Linked DNA regions of Oryzias latipes. The protein of the gene in region 3 purifies or fractionates together with the protein of the main gene of each other region. This does not show direct contact. Links are inferred from orthologs where the notes say so. Each region holds a gene or a part of one and is shown on either strand. Other genes may lie near its edges.

Region 1 (3,649 bases), on a different chromosome or scaffold from region 3:
TACTACGTACGCTTACATACAGTCTCATGGAGCGCCTGGACAAGTCTAAAAATGCAATTATGTTTTTGACTGATCCTAAAAGAGGCTCATTCCGCTCAACTCCGCCACACTGGGCACAGAGGTTATACTCCTTTTTAAATGGTTGTAAACTGTAGTTTTGTTTTGTTTTTCTATTTTTATTGGTATATTTATTTATTTTTACTATGTATGTTGTATCTGTCTTCTTTTATGGACCGCATTTGAACATGAAATAAAGTGAATTATGTTGATGAATGGAGGATTTCCTTATTAGGATGTATGTTTCTGGCTTCCAGTATACATATTTTGCAGGTGATGAAAAACTACTAACAGAAAACATGCTTCTGGGCTTACAATTGATTTGAAAACGTTTTACAAAGTGCTCAAAGCCAGAAATATTTAAACTTATAGACTTCTGTTTAAATACGCCTATTAATGTTTTGGTAATTGACATGTACAGTTATAGCCCTTCGGTGCCCTGCTTTAAGACACTTCATTACAATCAGAGTGGTAACTAAACCTACCATCTTGCTATCAAAGCTAAACCACTACCTCATTGCTACAGCTACCAACAGATGGAAACAGTCAATCACAAGGTGAACAGTTCAAAGGATTTGGGCTTGAAGACATGCTCAATTCCTCTTTAGGTCCCAAGTGTCAGAATGGAAGAGAAAAGTCATTAAGGGGAACTGTTACGCATAGCTTGAGGATGCTGTGGTTTTAGGTACGAGTAGTATTTCAGTAACTGGAAAAAAAAAAAAATCTGTTCAACTTCAAGATAATTGTCCAAGGATTATGAAAAATCAGCCAATAGTGACAAACTTAGGCTAAAAGTGCTGCCAGACTCAACACATTTCTCAATCGACGAGGGAAAAAAAATATCTTGTATAATGAGTTTTTGTTCATTCATAACCATAACACAAAGGATTAAGTTTACTTTGATTGAAGCATCACTCTCCTGGCGATGGTGTTATTATATGGGGTATGACTTCTTGGTACATTTTTGGCTCCTAATTTTGAAGTGAAAAGTAAACCCCTTGTGGTTCTTGCTACCGTAATTAGCAGGTCTACCCCTTTCTGATAACAGTGCAAGTATTAAAAGGTTATAATTTTTTTAAAACTACTTTCTAGAACATTGACTGTATGTGAGAACTGGACGGAGTCCTTCAACGTCACGTTCCAAATAGGAAGTACCAAATTGGCTCCAAGAAGGAAAATTCCATTTACTTCTCATAAATAGCTAATACTCAGTCATTCTATTAGTCAGAATAGCCATTCTTGCTCTGCTATCTTTTTTAACATGTTCTTGCTAATACAAAGTTTTTCTGTGGTGCAACTTACTAAAGTTCTGAACTGGCCAATCGGGCGCGTCAATGAAAGTATGAGGTCTTACGTTGCATCTTCAAAACGTGTGATTGACAGATTCTCCCAAGCCCATTTTGTGTGGGGTGTGGACTTCCAACAAGCTCACTCCTGATTGGTTGCCATAGAAATGTTGACTGAGACTGACTCATACCAACTGATGCCTACTGCTGTTGTCTGGTTCCAACATGGTGGCATCCATATCGAGACTAAATGGGGACTGAATTGACTTCATATCGTTGGAGCTGAAAGTAATGGGAGATGTCACACTGACTCAGTCCAGTTCTCGTATACAGTCAACTGTTTAGAATGCAGTTATAATGTCATGGTGGATGGGTTGTTTCCAGAGTGATCAGATCTCAAACCATGTGAGTAATGTACAATCATGGTGGAATAGCCGTGATAAACGTAAACAGATTGATATGAAACAATGGCCAATAAATATCTTTCCTGCCAACATGAGAAAAACACAACCTTTCCTATAAACCTGACATAGTTTCATGGAGTATTTATGATTAATAACCACTACCTGAGATAAGAGGTTTTCTTTACTGCATGTGCCGATTTAATGGCTCAGTTAAACCTTTACTCTAAGTAGAGAAACACTGATTGCAAAACTAGGGCAACCTCCCACACGTGTGTAAACTACAAGCAAGACTTTATCGCACAGAGAGGCTAAGCAAGAGCGGGAGATGTTGTACTTAAAACTGCTGTGACTCCTCCCACCTCATCATTTGCAACATCTCCGATGCAACCGACAGAACACTTACAAATGATCGCTTTCTTGAGGTCTTACTCCGTCATGCACTGTTGCTGGGCGGAAATGCAACAGTCATCCAACACTGCACACCTGTTAACCCTATAGATTAGCTCGTTTAGAAACCCCTTTTATAGTTATCTGTGCACAGTTCCAGCATAAAGCTAAATGAAAATGTGTACCAATCTCTGGACAGCTGCTGTCAGTACAGGCTCCTCATACCTGTTAATGGCTCTGAAATGTACATAACATAACACCGACCCCGCAGTGGAGAACAAATAGTTACAGTGTGGAAATTTCAGTGTAATAATCTGAGATGATGACCAAAGTTGGTCATCAGGATGCAACAAAAGCTCCACATCCACAGAGCCAGTACTTATTTTTTCAAAATACATTAAATTTCTGACTCAAAGAAAACTCCTGACGTAGTCGTGTTTAGGGGTAATAATTGCTAATAACAGGTATAGAGCAAAGGAATGAGACAAGAAGAATAGGAGCTTCTCTGCACACCAAAATAAGAGAAAATAGAAAGAAAGTGAAAGAGAAATTTGGAAAAGAATAACACACAAATGCCTTAAATAGATGGGATACAAAAAGTAAAAAACTTTATACAAGGTTTTCCGTCGTGTGTGAGTCTCTACTGTTGCTCCACCTAAAAATATAAAACTACAGCAGACATGGCAATGAAAATCCAGGTAACCAAACAAGTTTCTAACAGGAATTATATTCCCTCAGTCATCTGGAAAGTTTATGTTTACACAGGGCACGGTCTGCAGTTTAACCCATTGTCGTCTGAAGGATGTAATAATCCTACGTTTAAAATCATTTAAATACCCTCACAAATTGGTGTGGGATCCTCTCCGCTCAACTGAAGACCAGAACAATCCCAGAAAGCTTTCATGTGGACCTGTGAAGTCTTCAGCAAACATTTGCTTTTGGGACATTCCTCACACTCCTGTGGAAAAGCCCTTTCTAGACTTGCAAACATGGTAGGAATTAGAACTGGAAGCTTAATTTTGGGGACTTGGAAAAAAGAAAAGTCTTTTATATATTGCAAAACATTAACAAATGTTTTGTCTAGCTCTTTCAGTCTCCATGGGCTCTCTGAGCACTTCAGTGCATGCTAAAAAAGGACAAAAACTCTTTGGCTCAAGTTCAGGTTTTCTGCCACTTATCAGGAATAAAAATAAAATTCTTCCTACTCCTACTGAACGGGTAACACTGGTTGCATTTTCTGAGAACACGCCATTTGTAATACAAACACTACAGTCCTTCCCTAGAATAGTCTGGCAATCAGACAAAGTCGGCCTACCTTGATGAGTTCTGTCCGCAGGTTGATGGTGCGCAGCCAGTCTCGCAAGTGAGGGTAGCTCTCCAGGGCCTCTGGCCTGTCTGTCTCTGGCACTTTGTGCTTGCACTGCAGCTGTTTACAGATGTATTTCATCAGCTTCACCTGCAGGGAGCAACAGAGAACATTAGACAGATGGGCTAGAAAAGAGACTGGGGAACTAC
Region 2 (4,268 bases), on a different chromosome or scaffold from region 3:
ACGACAAAATGGCGAGTACCCTATGTAGTGCAATAAGTAGTAAGTAGTGAAGGAATTTGGATACAACCAATGATTGATGCTCACTCAATTGGCAACTATAGACCACAATGCATTGCATTTGAACCATTTCTTTTATTTTTAAAAAACTGTGTGTACATTTCTTTTTATAAATCATCCAAGTTTTCATCATCAGAACTCAAGTGTTATACTTAATCTTTGTAAAGTGTTAACATTTATTATGTTTATATGTTTACTCATGTTTTACTCTGATAATTTCTTATTGATGTTTTATTCTTATGTCTTATTTTTAACCTTGTACAGCAACCTTGGGTGACCTGAAAGGCGCTTGAAATAAATTTATTATTATTATTATTATTATTATTATTATTATTATTATTATTATTATTATTAGGCTGTTACTTTGTAAAATGGGTGATGTCATATTTCGCCTTAAAGAAAAGTGGTAAGAGTAGTTTTTGGGGTTTAGGGAGTAGTCAGTGAATTTGAACGTAACCAAAGGCTTTTTAGTTAGCTCCTGACGGGTAATTCTTCCTAATTCACGACAAAAGTAAAAAAAAAAAAAAGTTAATATTTCTGAAAATGATCCATAATGTTTCCCTATGTAGTAAACAAAGGTCACAAAAATACTTTAAAAGATGAGTGAAACTCAAGAAAAACTGGTAAACAAATGCAAGAACTGCTGTCAAGGTTCAGAAAAATGACCACGTTCAGCCTTTGAGGACGGTTTGAAACCACCGCCAGAAATCCTAAAGTCCTGCCAACTTAAGATGAATAATATCAAACAGACACAACACGCTGGAATTGAAGACACAAGCTGCAGAACATCACGAACATCTGACCTAGAAATGATTTCCTAGATTCTCCACGAAGGCAGAAATCACTGATCAAATCAATAAAATGTTTTGAAACAAGGTTTAATTTATGTGATCTAAGGTAAAGCAGGTGGTTTATAGTTACATGTGTTACAACACATTAATAAATTACAAATGTTTTGGGACTTTGCTCTAACAAGCAATGGTTACCTTGCAAGTAAGATTTCTAGAAATCATTAATTATCAGAAAATAAATATGATTTAGTGAAGGACAAGAGTGCTGCGTTTCCCATCATCCCTTTGTTTACACACTCTCCCACTGGCTTACAGCCCCTCATCACCCCAACGTGACATTGTGGGTTTAACAAAAATGGTGAGAAATATTGGCGCTATCCAGCCGCAGTTTTAAGCCAGATGCCAGTTCAGACGAGGAAAACGAAGATGTACATGTCATCTACAAGTGGATGCATCAGGATGGAGCGGAGCAGGGGGTTTGAGGCTTGCTGTTATACAAACCCAAAACCTTTTCCGTTTTTTGTCTACTCCGGATTCACGATGATTTGAAAAAAAAAGAAATACTCCGAAATGCTATTTTGATCTTAGTTTTTTTAAGAAATGTCCTCCTTCATCAGAAAGAAAATGCCACAAGATCATGTGAAAAACACAGAAAACACAATTTTCATCAGGGACGGCCTTAAAAGAAAGCTAGATTTGTAACAACCCCACCATTATGTTTGATCTTCATTCATCTTTAAAAAATTATAACCTTTGCAAGTGCATAATATAATTCTCACAACGTTCCTGTTTGCTTTGCACTTTCCAGCCTGATGTTTGTGCTCCATGTTTATGGATTAAGTGTCTCCTCAATGAAGAGCTCAGACATGAAGCATTAGAGCAGCATGTTGATGTGTGCAGCACTCTCTCTCTTTCAGGTGACTTTATGGTCTCGAATGTAGCTTTTCAGTTCTGTTAATCCCCCTGGGGGGGGGGGGGGGGGGGTTAGAGTGTGTTGAAGGCGTGCAGAACCTCAGATGGCTTTATGGGCCTCTTATTGCACTTAATACTGTTTGTTTTAATCTCTTGGGACAGCGTCGTCACATTCTCACAGGTGTTTATGGCTGCTCTGCGTCCGCAGCACTCACGCTGACCTTTCTTCCTGCGTGCGGCGCTCTGACTCTGAAGCAGGTCCGCTGGCCGGTTAAAGGTGGACCATCTCAAACGCAACACCGGGTTATTGTGACCGTTACATAACGTAATTTACAGAATACCCCCACGGGCCAATTAAAGGATAGGGATGTTTTGTAACCTTGTCGGTATAATCTGGTCGCCTTGCGTAACGGCGGCTGGGTTTGGGATGAGCCCAGAGCGCGCGCAGGCTGGCATGGCACACCGGCAACGGATTGTAAACACGGGGCTGCACGCGCAGGCCTCACGTATATATCTGATGAAGAGGAGAGCCACCTTCTCTTCCCGCCACCTGCAGAATGCGCAAGTCTCCAGCAGCCCACTGCAGCCCCGTGGCCTCGAGATTTATTGCACTGCACAGACAGAGCCGCGCGCACGGATGAAAGGCTGTGGAGCTTGGAGCCCCTGCATATGGATGCAATGACAGCACCAGGGTAGTTTGCTGCTGGGAAAAAAAAAAACAGCATAAACGTGCAGAGTGGCCTGTAAAAACTGACAGCCCTGGGTGATGCTTTAGTTGAGGATGCAGAGCAGTAATTGAGTCAGGGAGCCGCTTACCTCCAGCGTTCGGATCTCTTTTTGTGTCAAGTCGTTGGATGTGGCACATTTGGTCCGTAAACCCTCCAAACTAGAAATGCTTATGTCAATCATGTTCTGCACCAACTCGCACTGCTGCAAGGCTTTCTGCAAACTGAGATGCTGCTCCTCGCTTTTTGTCATCTCCTCGTTCATAGTTTAGCGCGCGCTGGATGGTATTTTTTCCCCTTAGTTTGTATTTCCAAGACAAAAAAAGAAGAAGAAGAACAGAGGGTTAAAAAAAGAGGATAATTCAAGAAAGAAACGTGGAGGAGCCCGCGGAAAAGAGCAACCAGCACAGCGCAGTGGAAAGAGATGCTGCAGGCTTAGACTCTGGCTTTGAGCCGTGAGAGGGTCGCCTCCATTGCAACAACAGTCCTCGCAGCTCCAGCTGGATGATCAAGGATGTAAACTAGACCAAACTCAATGTGAGGATGCGGAGCGGGGCTGAGCGGTCTGCTACAGCATCCATCGGGCGTCCTTTCCGTTCTAATGGATGCTGAGGAAGGGGGGGGGGGGGAGAAAAAAAAGGGGGGGAAAGGAACCAAATTTGCTGCTCAGCGCATCCTAAACAGCCGGATCGGGTAGAACCTGGCGGTTTTAAAGGTGCTGATGTGCGGATTGGATGCAGGTACTCCCTGTCTCCCTTGGCAGCAGCTGCATCCCGGTTCGCTCCCACCACACCGACATGTTTCCCGTCAATCAAAGCCACAGCAACAGCATCGCAGCGCCGCCGTAAGGGGCCGCTCTCGCGTGATCACGGCGCGCTCAAGTGGGTTCTCGTCTGCTGGACGAGAAACGCATCATCTGCGACAAATGATCTTTATTTTTCAGGGTGATATTTCATCAAATTAAACATAATTCAGCAATCTTACTAAAATGCAAACGAAGTGCCTGTTAAACTAAAAGGTTAAACAAAATTTGAAAACATTTTTTAAAACATTTATTGTGTGTACTCACCCAAGTTATTAAATAATGGGGGGGGGGGGGGCATGTTTTACTTATTTATTTATTGTTTTTGGTTGTCGCCTGGTTAGGTAGCTAAATAGTTAACGTCTAAAGCGTATATTCTAAATGAAACGTATTAAAAACCAAACAGATTAAGAAACTTGTGTATTTTTCTATTAATTTAATTTACCTATTTTACGAAATACTTATTGCACAAGTTAGATAGAAATGTATGTACATCAGGGGATTAAATATTGTTTTTTTCCTGTTAAATGCTTTAAAGTCTTATACAAATCTTTAAAATTAGTCTGATTTCCACAGCACATTAATTTTCGTTCTGAAATGTTCAAGAAAATCGGTCAAAAATGTTTTCGCCTACGGATAAATATCAAACTAACACAGAGATTTCTATTTTACAAGATAATCAACTCAAAAATGTTTATAAAATAAACAAAAAACAATTTTAAGCTTTACTTTAGAAAATATTAAAATTCTTCAATTGATATTGTGGTTTTTTTTACAGTTTACCTTCAACATATCACCATGATCCCACCCACCGGAAAGCAAAACGACATTCTGTTGGTGTTACGTCATGACGTTGGCGTGCGTTTCTGTCGCGAGCGCGGCAAAAGGAAGCGACATAGAACAGACGGGGTTTTTCCTCTACTTGCCCGGCTAATAAATAAAGTTACCGGGAGTCATGGCGTCTACGAGTAGGACCCCGTT
Region 3 (4,171 bases):
GGCCAACATGTTCCACGTGTGAGTCTGTTCAGGACGATGAAACTGTAACATAAAGAAATGTATTCTAACAGCTGTTATTGACGTGTTGAATTAATAAAATCTGTTCTTAAAAAACATCTTCGCCTCTTTTCTGGAACTGTGTGACCTGAGTCTCAACTTCTGCTCTGGGAGGAGCTGCCCACCTTCAGGAGGCATTTGCTCCTACTCCAGTGGTTCCTTCTCTTTTTTTCTGTGTCTCCTCCATCCTAAAGAAGCGTCAGCTGTGGTCTATCAGGTTCAGACTGAACTGCTCTAGGTTTGCTTCACTAAACGGGTGGTTTTGGTTGCAGCGCTGACTGTTCATCCTCTAATTTATCTCGGATGAAACGCCGCCGTCTTCTGAAAACCTGCTGAGACGTTTGCATGATGGCACCAAACTTCAGCAGAGATCTGCTCTTTGGAGATGTGTGCAGCTGAGTCTCTATGAAAAACACGTTTGATGAATCTTCTGAAGTTTACGTTTGAAAAGTCAAAGTCTCCAGAACTGCAGGGTTGATGGGCTGAAGCCGAAAGGCAAACCGGTCAATTAGCTGAAATTACATTTACACAATAGATGATTTTCTGCATTAAGATGCCAGCACCCCTTTATAGAAGTGTTTCTATAGCACAATTAAAAATAAAGTACCAGAAATGCTTATTCGTTATCAAAATGAAGCTGCAAAAAGAAAAAGCAATCCACCAAACTTCTTTTTCTTCTTCACTGCTCATTCTGTCACTTAATTCAAAGGATAAAGAAAATATTATTTGACATTTCATTTTCAAAAGGTTCTCTGGTAAATGTGTAGCAAAATATTTGCAGGGTGGATGTTAAAATGAAAATGCAATCCCCCCTTTGCTTATTTGTTTAAATAATGACACAGAATAAGTGGTTTTTATGTTGAAAATGAAAAAGCATTTTGAAGTATTGATTTTTCATTTTATTTTTGAGTCATTAGATGTAGTTACCTTTTGAAAATTAAAAAGCATATCTGTAAATCCATTTTAATTGTCAAATTAGACATTTCTAAATGAATTTTGCTACACATTCGGTCAATATCATTTGAATTGAGTAAGAACATGCAGTGTTGAAGAAGAAAATGAAAAAGAATTTTGGTGGATTGCTTTTGAGTCAAAAAATGCAGCTTCATTTTGAAAATGAAAAAGCATTTCTGGTTTTGACGATTATTTTTGATTATGCTACACAAATGCTTCCATATATTCTGTGACATTCTTTGCATGACTGCACTTCTCTCTTTGGCCGCGGGATGGCGGTGTTTCCCAAGAAGCCTGTTTGTCTGCGGACATAAACGCGCAGAAAAGCTGCAGTTTGGTGTCCGACCAAACCCCTCCTCAGCGCCGCGCGAGCCTTAGAAAAACCTTTATGTCCCTGCACCCGCACTTCGACTTCCACTGGGATTCTGGTAATCTGTCACTCAGCGGGTTCGCCGCTGTACCACAGCCCCATCGCCGTAGGCAGCTGCTGCTTCCTGTATTGAGGCACCGGGGTCAGGAGCGGAGCCACGCGCGTTCAGCAGTCGTTCCTCGCGGACTGAAACCAGGACGAACTACAGTTTGGAGGCTGTGGTGAAGTGGGCGCCGCCTTTTCGAACCTCGGCCGCAGGTGACTCTTGGACGCGGGGGGAGCTGCTGCTGCGTGTCGGGACTCGGACGTTTGTTGAGGGACTGGCGCGACCTGCTAGCAGCTAATGGCTAGCAGCAGATAGATATCTAGAAAATCCAGATCCTCCGCGGTTCTCAGGAGAACGGTTCTCCTGATGGTCGCTTTCTCTGAGCTACACTGACATGCCCCCCCCCTAACGGAAGTGAAAGCTAACGTTAGCCAGGAAACTTATTAGCCGCTCACGAGCGCCGAACAAGGAAGAGGTGCCGCGCGGCCGCACTGACTGTTCGCTGCCGGAAGGAACCGTGCGGGAACGATTCCCTGAAATGGCCCCCAAAAGGAGACCCGTTCCCCTGAACATCACACCCATCGGGGAGGGACAGACCACGTCCAACACCATCGATGCTGCGTCCGAGTGAGTCCCGGGGGGGGTTAACAATTTACATTTTTATGCAGATCATGCAGTACCCTGAATCTGCAGGGGGCACTCTTTTGCACAGATCTATCATCTGTAGGGGGGTGTAAACTGTCTCTATCTGTACTTTGACCCCCCCCCCCCCACACACACACACACACCCTTCCCCAGAGCCAACCTAGAGGCCTTACAGAAGAAGCTGGGAGAGCTGGACCTGGATGAACAGCAGAGGAAGCGTCTGGAGGCCTTCCTCACCCAGAAGGCTCAGGTGGGAGAGCTGAAGGACGAAGACTTCGAACCCATCTGTGAGCTGGGGGCAGGAAACGGGGGCGTGGTCAACAAGGTCCGCCACAAGCCCTCGGGTCTCGTCATGGCCCGCAAGGTGAGGACCTCATCTGACGGTTTGGTGAAGAAGGCAATTCTGGAATCTGAAGCCTGACTTTCTCCCAAAGCCCGCCCAATTTTTTCTGCACTGCAAAGTTACCAGCAGCTGCTGCAGACGGGACACAACAAGTCTGCTGCAGCTGCTGCAGGCGGGACTTGACTTGTCTGTGGCTGTCGCAGATGAATGTAACTGATCTGTAGTGGCAGATAAAACACGACCGCTGCAGACGGGCCACGACTCGGTCTGCGCCTGCTGCAGACGGGACACGACTTGGTCTCTTGCTGCTGCAGATGGGACAGGACTTGGTCTCTGGCTGCTGCAGACGGGACACAACAAGTCTGCTGCAGCTGCTGCAGGCGGGACTTGACTTGTCTGTGGCTGTCGCAGATGAATGTAACTGATCTGTAGTGGCAGATAAAACACGACCGCTGCAGACGGGCCACGACTCGGTCTGCGCCTGCTGCAGACGGGACACGACTTGGTCTCTGGCTGCTGCAGACGGGACACGACTTGGTCTCTGGCTGCTGCAGATGGGACATGACTTGGTCTCTTGCTGCTGCAGACAGGACACAACAAGTCTGCTTCAGCTGCTGCAGGCGGGACTTGACTTGTCTGTGGCTGTCGCAGATGAATGCAACTGATCTGTAGTGGCAGATAAAACACGACCGCTGCAGACGGGACAGGACTCAGTCTGCGCCTGCTGCAGACGGGACAGGACTCGGTCTGCGCCTGCTGCAGACGGGACAGGACTCGGTCTGCGCCTGCTGCAGACGGGACAGGACTCGGTCTCTGGCTGACACTCACGAGATCCTCAGACTGGTTAGACGTTCTTCCTCAGGCTGTTCAAGGCCTCCAAGTTCCATCAGAAGACTTAGTTTCCTGTAGTTGTTAGTGGAGGGGCGGTGGGTCGTGTTGCTGAATCTGCTGCCCCCACAGTGATGCACGCCCCCTCAGAAACCATCCAGACGTTCCACTGAGGTACTGCAAGTGTCTATGGTCCTGCAGACAACTCCCACACTGTTCCACCTCTTCCCTCCTTTAGCTAATCCACCTGGAAATCAAACCTGCCATCAGGAACCAGATCATCAGGGAGCTGCAGGTGCTCCACGAATGCAACTCCCCCTACATCGTGGGCTTCTACGGGGCTTTCTACAGCGATGGAGAGATCAGCATCTGCATGGAGCACATGGTGAGACTCTGAGCCTCCAGGATCCCTGAAGACGTCCTGCTGGTTGAGGTTCTCATCCACGTCTTCTGTCTCCACAGGATGGTGGATCCTTGGATCAGGTCCTAAAGGAAGCCCGGAGAATCCCTGAGGAGATTCTTGGAAAAGTCAGCATAGCGGTAAGAGCCTGTGGCTGGGGGGGGGGGTCTGTTCCTCTGGAATGGGTTTGTTCTGCTGCTGGATCTTCTCTGCTGTGTCGTTGGCAGGTGTTGAGGGGGCTGGCTTACCTGCGGGAGAAGCACCAGATCATGCACAGAGGTAACCACGCCTCCAACACCGACAAACATCATGTCTGCTCTTCTGTCCTCATACGCTCGTTGGCTCCTCCTAATATGACGGTAGAACCATTATCATGATGCAACCGGAGCACCACCGCGTGAACAGAACCAACGGTCCAAATGTCAGATCACACCTTTGAATCTGGGAGGAAAACAGCGGCCAGACGTTTGAGATGGAGGCTCCTCTTAGGAGGAACCTCCCTGCTGGTGTGAAGGAACAGTCGCTGCT

The links.
Region 1: the proteins of map2k2 (region 3) and ksr1 purify together in Homo sapiens (affinity purification with mass spectrometry; 4 studies listed by BioGRID and IntAct, with this or other methods). This does not show direct contact. The link is inferred for Oryzias latipes from reciprocal best matches to the Homo sapiens genes MAP2K2 and KSR1.
Region 2: the proteins of map2k2 (region 3) and ksr2 purify together in Homo sapiens (affinity purification with mass spectrometry; 3 studies listed by BioGRID and IntAct, with this or other methods). This does not show direct contact. The link is inferred for Oryzias latipes from reciprocal best matches to the Homo sapiens genes MAP2K2 and KSR2.

Annotation. Positions count from the first base shown.
Region 1 is NC_019872.2:17,293,304-17,296,952, forward strand, and holds part of ksr1 (kinase suppressor of Ras 1), read right to left. Parts: intron 3,591-3,649; coding exon 3,450-3,590; intron 1-3,449.
Region 2 is NC_019867.2:3,439,400-3,443,667, forward strand, and holds the start of ksr2 (kinase suppressor of Ras 2), read right to left. Parts: upstream 2,869-4,268; 5' UTR 2,751-2,868; coding exon 2,577-2,750; intron 1-2,576. Other genes in the region: rfc5 (replication factor C subunit 5), read left to right, coding at 4,243-4,268. UniProt on the Homo sapiens protein: Location-regulated scaffold connecting MEK to RAF. Has very low protein kinase activity and can phosphorylate MAP2K1 at several Ser and Thr residues with very low efficiency (in vitro).
Region 3 is NC_019862.2:7,813,779-7,817,949, reverse strand, and holds the start of map2k2 (dual specificity mitogen-activated protein kinase kinase 2), read left to right. Parts: upstream 1-1,301; 5' UTR 1,302-1,965; coding exon 1,966-2,054; intron 2,055-2,225; coding exon 2,226-2,436; intron 2,437-3,481; coding exon 3,482-3,628; intron 3,629-3,705; coding exon 3,706-3,783; intron 3,784-3,870; coding exon 3,871-3,922; intron 3,923-4,171. UniProt on the Homo sapiens protein: Catalyzes the concomitant phosphorylation of a threonine and a tyrosine residue in a Thr-Glu-Tyr sequence located in MAP kinases. Activates the ERK1 and ERK2 MAP kinases.